2 linked regions of the Arabidopsis thaliana genome follow. The protein of the gene in region 1 interacts with the protein of each later gene in a pairwise test. Each region holds a gene or a part of one and is shown in the gene's direction. Other genes may lie near its edges.

Region 1 (3,755 bases):
TATTGACTTTGATCATATTATCTCTATAAAAGAGAAATAAAATCTTTCTAAAGTTTTTTTACTTGAGTTTGAAGCTGGTGGCAATTTGGTGTTTGTTTTATGAGATTGTATAAGAGTTATCCAAAGCTGAGACATGGCCCAAAATAAGTCCAAGGCCATGTTTAGGCTCCATTTTGCATGGCCACTCCACTCATCTAACCAAAGCCCAGTCTCAATTATGTGAACTGAAATTTCTATGTTTTGTTTTTTCACACTGAAATTTCTATCTAACTGTCTTTCTTTTAACATGTTTCAATGATTTGCTTCCGAATAGAACACATAATAATTGTTTCCTAAAATTTTAAGAATTTTGAAGTACATAGTAGGCATTTGGGTCCACTGATCTCACACGGCAACGACTATTCTCAAATCTCATATCACATCAAAATAAAGAAAAAAGATTCAACGAGAAATTAAAATCTTTAGAAAAAATGTTCCAAAAAGAAAAAGAAGTCATCAAGGCAATTAAGCACTTAATTCCCTGTGCATTTTTTTAATCATTCACTTGCGTCTCTTTCTCTTTTTCTTTTTTTTTCTTCTTTCACCAAACTTGCTTACCTCTTTATTCGTTTTCTTTTCTTTCTCCTATGATCATGGAATTTGGTGGATGCTCCAACGTTTTTCACCTCAATCACTTATTAAAATATCATGTACAATAGTTCGTAATTATATATGAAAAAACGAGTGGGCTAAATTGGTGTTTTATAAGCCACGTCAAAAATATTGTATTATTTAGCTAGCTACTAAACTAGTCAAATATGTTACAATGTATATAGTTCAATTTGTATCGCGTCATCGTAAAGACATAAATGTTCCAAATCATCCCACCCACACACCTAAAAAGAAAGGTTAATACTTTAAAAATAATGATTATAGAAACCACCAAAATGGTTAAAAACTCACTTCCACTATTTGGCTCATAATTATAAAGAAAAAACGTTGCCCCCCCCCCCAAAAAAAAAAAAAAAGTTAAAAAGAAGACGAACATATAATGGCTTTACTTTAACGAACTACTAAGAAATTCTCACGTTTATGATATTACATAATTATTAATTTATGGCTTGAAATTATGGATCGCGAGGGTTTGCCATTATACATCATAATTACATATATTCTACGTTCCACCTCCTCTACTCCTCGTCCCATTGCAACCATCCAAACTAATAAAAATATTTAGATTATTTCTACCATTCAATTCAAAATTATATGCATTTTAAATTATACTATATGTATTTTCTAAAATAAATTTAAATTGAACTGAATTAAATAAATTTAATTTTTCTTTATAAAAAATATGTGTTAGAAATATGAATTGAAACTCATACTAAAGTGTATTTTAGTTTTAATTTCTACTAAAAAGAATAGTAAAAAATCAAAATAATAAGACTATATCCAATGTTCAATTCTATTTTTTCTTCTATTTTAAAATTGACTCTATTTTAAAGGTATTTTATTTCATTGTATGACTCTAAAATAAAGTTTTCTCTAAAATAGAAAACAAATATAGAGTAAGTTGTCTTTTGTTCTATTTATAGAGTAATCTCTACATTTTTCTTCTATTTTAGTAGTAACTCTATTCTAAAATATATAATAGAGTAAAATTAATTATATTTCTTCTTAAATTGAGTTAATATTAAAATAGAAGAAAATAAAGTTGGGCAATGGAGATGGTGTTATGTTTTGCTCAAATGAGTTTTTAGAGTTGATGTTCCAGCTTGGTTATCTAAATTTTGGAAGAGAAAGAAAAATGAAAAAAAAAAAAAAAAAATCTGAAATAAACTTGGTTGATGTGAACTGTTTTTTTCTTTTTCTTTTTCTTTTCCTGGTCTCCATTATTGACGGTAAATAAAGTGGTGGAAAAGGGTAAAATCGTCACAAGAAATAAGAAGATGTATAAAGCAATGTCACACACTTCAGTCTTCACGCCCACTTTTAGTGAATTTGCTAAAAATATATTTTCGAAATAATATTCCGCTTTCTCGTTTCTTATCCGTTCAAGCTTTCGTGAATTCGTCTCATAAACCTCTCCACTCTCTCTGGATCTCCACGCATAGATCTTCCTCTGTTTTCCTCCATGTACGCTTCTTGGATTCACTTAACCATTGTTTGTCGCTGTGCTCTCTCTGTTTTTTTATTCCTCGAAAAAGTTGAATTATCAGCGAATTTGATGCAAATGTGTTTAAATCGTTACCAAAACGGATAAATTCTTCTATTTTCGTAGCTTGGCTTGCAAAATCCAAGCTTTTAGTTCTTGATTTTGCTAAAATAAATTATACTTGTTCAATGCTGCAGAACATGTACTTATCTTCTTCTGCTGTTTATGGTTTCTCTATCCTTTCAATTGTTGTGAATGTTTGGTTTCTTTGGTTTGTTATTACTGGAATTTGATGAGATGATTCTCTGTTTTGTAACAGAATTCTTCTCTCTTTCTCTGGATCACAACAAAGCAGTGAATGAGAAAAACAGCATGAGTTGGTTCACAAGGTCTGTTGATGTGTACCGTAAAGTTGTGAGCTTGAATCTGTATTGCCGAGTTATTCTGTAAACTTTTTCTCTGCCTTGAAAAACCCCATCTTCAATCTTCTTCTAAATCCTCAGCCTTTTCTAAACTCTTTAATAATGGGATCCCAACGTTTCTACGTTTTCCACTGTGACCAGTATAGGATCATCTAAACCCTTAAAGCTTCTCTTTTTCTTCTTCAAGTCATCTGTCTTTTGGTGACTTACTCTGTTCTGTGGAGAAACACTAGTTTTACATTCGAGAGTTTGGAAAAGTTATTATTATGGTAAGTCAATCAGCTGGTCAAACAAGATTTCGAACATTCAAGTACGAGAACAACGGAGACTCTAGCAGACCAACAATTGTAGTGAGAGTTATTGCTTGCTTCCAACCGATGGATAATTGTCAGGTTTGTTGCAGCAAAAATGATATTATACTCTTTTTTTTGTCACATTTCATCTCATAGTCCTGTGTTTCTTATCTAACACTTTTGTCTCTGTTCCACTTGCAGGCTGAATACTTTAGACATATACTCAAACCAGTGACGTAGTTGGTTTGTGAGCTTGTGTTTGTATTTTTGGAGCTGGCACCTTTTTTCTTTTTGTCTCTACTTTCTTATACGATTGTTTCAAGAAAGAATCAACAAGTGTTGCGTTCCACACATTTGAGCAACAGCTTCCACAATCGGTATGCTAACTGAATCTTTGACTCTTTATGGATTATTGCTTTCTTGAGTTGGGCTACTAGTAGTTGTCTCATTCATAGCCATGTCCAATGATTAGTCCCTTTCCTTTTTCGTGCAGTATTGTATTCCTGTAAAGTTCCCTTGGCTTAAACTGCAAGAGCATGCCTCTTGATACCAAACAGCAGAAATGGTTGCCATTAGGCTTAAATCCTCAAGCTTGTGTCCAGGACAAGGCGACTGAGTATTTCCGTCCTGGAATTCCTTTTCCGGAACTCGGTAAAGTTTATGCAGCTGAGCATCAGTTTCGCTATTTGCAGCCACCGTTCCAAGCCTTATTGTCTAGATATGATCAGCAGTCTTGTGGAAAACAAGTTTCATGTTTGAATGGGCGATCTAGCAACGGTGCTGCTCCAGAGGGGGCACTCAAGTCTTCTCGGAAAAGATTTATAGTATTCGATCAGTCGGGAGAGCAGACTCGTTTGTTACAATGTGGATTTCCTCTGCGGTTTCCTTCTTCTATGGATGCAGAGC
Region 2 (3,755 bases), on another chromosome or scaffold:
TTAACTATTGTAATATATAAGATTATAAATTTTCAATATAATATGTATGAAATTGAATATGAATATTTCAAATTTATGTCCCCTTACTCAGTAGAAAGTTTTCTTAAATCTATTTTTCACCCGTTATAATATTATTTCATGTATTGAACAGTTTATATTTGTTTTTAAAAATTCAAATTATGGCATATGCGAAAAAACTCTAATTATTTTTTTATAATGATGATATTATTTTTCCGTATAAATAGAATCATATAAAGATGAGAAGTGAACTATAATAATTAATAAAAAATTAATATGATAATTTAGATACCAAATATAGTTTGTTGATTTTAATTGGTTACTTTTTTAGAAATTAATAATCTATTTCGTTTTTCTAATTAAATTAAATTAATTAAATTTAGATATCAAATCTTATATGTTGATTTTGATTGGCTATTATTTTTGGAAATTAATATTGTATTTCGTTTTTTAATTAATTTAATTAATTAAATTAGTATTTGACTTTTTAATCCTTAAAGAGATAAATTAATTTACTTTTTAAAATTTTATTTCTAATGGCATACCTATGTAATTACTTACAAAAATTAAGGTTATATTTAAAATGTACTTCCCAAATAATATAGTAGGATTGTCACTACGACTACGAGGGACACTTGCTAAATTTTCGGAATATTTTATCTTATGAATTAGAAGGAAAATTATTATGGAAGTTGTAATAAAACATGTACAACATTTTAAATATCATAGGTTTTTTATTACAAAAGTATTATATTTTAATAGTATATGGGAAAAACAATTGTCTCTTCAAAATTTATTCAAAATAAAAAAAAAATTAAACTATAGACGAATGAGCCTCGAAAACGCAATTCCTCAAACATTTTTTTTTACAATCTTATCCACCAACGTATGAGTCAAATCAAACAAATAGACACCTTAAAGTAAAGTATATACATAGTTCACTAATATTTTTGCTAGACGGTTAACCTCTTTATACATATACGAGATTCGAATTATCTACTCTGTAGATAAAATATATGATACAAACTTATCAAGAAAGACAATTGGGTTCGACTCACAAACTCTTGCCTTTAAGAATCCTACCACTAATTCCGCAGCTCTAGCCTCATCACTCTCTTCTCCCATGGGATATACAATTCATAGTAGACTTCCTACAACTTCGGTAAACGAGCCGAGTATACAATGTTTAGCGCACAATTTCCGCGGGAAATACAAAAAAGATTGTGATGTTAATGTGATGAATTTGTAATTAAACACACGATAAATTAGTGCAATGTGTAAAATATTTTATAAATTTGTGAGTAATGGGTAAAAAAAAAAGTAAAGAAGGAAGCAAAGTTCAGTTGGTGAATCATTTTGCTGGCCATTACTCTATAAGAGAGAGAGATCCTATCTCCATAAAATCCCATACCCTCAAACACACACACACTCACCATCCCACTAACTCGAATAGTTAACATGCGCACACCGATCCTTGGCCTTTCGTTGCTAAAATGAGCATGGTGCGTGATTCACCCGCTTACTTGCTCGATTTCTCCTTCACCCTTTTAAAAAGGAACGTCTTTTAGCTTACCTCTGCCTCCTTTACCCTCTCTCTCTCTCTATCTCTATCTCTGTTCTTTCCTTTTTCCGGCGAATTTCTGGGCTGAGATTGTTAGTGTCTCTGAGTGATGCAGAGATCAACTGTTGTAGTTAATCAATATCTTCTGACATAAGCTAAACTCGATTCTTTCTTACAATCTCTCTGTCTCTCTCTGCTTCCTTTTCTACTGTCTTCTTTCTTCTTCTCTAGCTTTTGAATTTTCAATATTGATTTCTCCCATGGCGAGTAGCAGTTGCAGCAGATCTATCTCTGTTTCAAATTCTGATTCTCTCGGTGTTTTTTGTTTGAGCTAGGGCTAAATTAGTTTCCTTCTTGGGTTTTTATTCGTAATCCGATTCAAAGTTTGTATCTTTGGGAGGGATGGGTAAGAGGCAAATATCACAAGATGAAGTAGGTCCGCCCATAAAACCAAGAGCTGGTTTACGAAGGGAACAAGCTGGAAGAGGTTCTTACAGAGGTAGTTAGTTACTTTGTATCTCATCGAAAACGAATCAAAAGAAGCTTCTTTTTTTTTTTATTAGAGGTTGGGGAGGAGATAGTATAAAACAACTGTTTAGAGTTCTGATTTGTGGTTTTTGAGTCCGGGGTTTTGAGGTTTACCCTTTAGAATGGGTTCTACTTCTCAAGAGATACTGAAGAGCTTTTGCTTTAACACGGACTGGGACTATGCTGTGTTCTGGCAACTTAATCATCGAGGATCTCGAATGTGAGTCATCTAAACAATTCTCTTTACTGTCTTTGCGTGGTGGATCATTATAATTGTCTACGAGTTAGAACTGTGGTAATTGATTTAGGTGTATTGACTTCAACTTGCTAGAGTGGAAATATGGAACCTTATATCGAAATGCAGCAGCTTTAAGTTAACAATTGTAGTTTAAGTGTCTGAAGATTGTTTCTGTACTTTTAAGTTTTGTGTGCAGTTCAGGATTCTATTTCTTTATATGTTTTAGTGTTTTAGTTGACCAGATAGTTTCTCAATTTTTTGAATAATGAACACCTGTAGGGTACTTACCTTGGAGGATGCTTACTATGACCATCATGGGACGAATATGCATGGAGCACATGACCCCCTTGGGTTAGCTGTGGCAAAGATGTCTTATCATGTCTATTCTCTAGGGGAAGGGTAAGAATATATTGCTCTGATTCACTCTTATCATGCCTATAGTTTGATGTGCCCTTTTTCCTTCTTTTTTTATTTGACAGTAGCCACATAATGCAAAGCTTTTGTTGTGTCCTTGAGCTTGATGTTAGCTTTTACAATAGTTAACAATCTTGGGTCTATTGTTGAATTATGTTATCATATCTATATAAACAGGATTGTAGGACAAGTTGCAGTTTCTGGAGAACACCAATGGGTATTTCCCGAAAATTATAACAACTGTAACTCAGCATTTGAGGTTAGGGACTTTCTATCTGAAATTAAATTTGTTTTCTTCGTGTTTTTAAACCAAATGTCTTTTTTTAATTACAGTTTCATAACGTTTGGGAAAGTCAAATTTCTGCTGGAATTAAGGTATTTGGATTTTTCTTTAGTGCTCTTTCTGTCTGCTTTATTATACATACTTGTCAAGAACATCCTCAAAGTTTGCCACTGGAGACTTTCCTTTTTAAAATATCTATTCTTCCTTCTCCGCAGACCATTCTTGTAGTAGCTGTTGGTCCATGTGGAGTTGTTCAGCTAGGCTCTTTGTGTAAAGTAAGTAAGATCTTAAAATTGGATGCGGTGTTCGCAGTTACAAAATAATAGCCAGGAAGAACACCTGCACACTTATAATAGATGGCACATATATACATATCTGGTCTTATTTTGTATTTGTTTGGAGCAGGTTAATGAAGATGTGAATTTTGTGAATCATATCCGACATTTATTTCTGGCACTTAGGGATCCATTGGCAGACCATGCAGCAAATTTAAGGCAATGTAATATGAACAATTCGTTATGTCTGGTAAAGATCTTCTTCATTCAAATATGGATTCATGTTTTTTCTAGATTTCTTGTTATTTGCAAAATGGGGAGAGTAAAGTGCTTAGGGTTCTTCTAACAGTTACTCAAACCTCCACTGACTTCCTGAGTAGACCATGATGTGTTGTATAATTTTGTTGCAGCCAAAAATGCCTTCTGAAGGTTTACATG

Evidence for each region.
Region 2: the proteins of AT5G09460 (region 1) and CPUORF7 interact in binary tests that used the Arabidopsis thaliana proteins (3 or more experiments, as listed by UniProt).

The regions. Positions count from the first base shown.
Region 1 is NC_003076.8:2,945,048-2,948,802, reverse strand, and holds the start of AT5G09460 (transcription factor bHLH143), read left to right. Parts: upstream 1-1,963; 5' UTR 1,964-2,115; intron 2,116-2,453; 5' UTR 2,454-2,948; intron 2,949-3,050; 5' UTR 3,051-3,226; intron 3,227-3,342; 5' UTR 3,343-3,385; coding exon 3,386-3,755.
Region 2 is NC_003071.7:13,337,449-13,341,203, forward strand, and holds the start of CPUORF7 (transcription factor bHLH155-like protein), read left to right. Parts: upstream 1-1,638; 5' UTR 1,639-1,981; coding exon of another isoform or gene 1,982-2,078; 5' UTR 2,079-2,229; coding exon 2,230-2,327; intron 2,328-2,624; coding exon 2,625-2,744; intron 2,745-2,936; coding exon 2,937-3,018; intron 3,019-3,092; coding exon 3,093-3,134; intron 3,135-3,257; coding exon 3,258-3,317; intron 3,318-3,447; coding exon 3,448-3,567; intron 3,568-3,727; coding exon 3,728-3,755. UniProt on the Arabidopsis thaliana protein: Transcription factor that may regulate root development.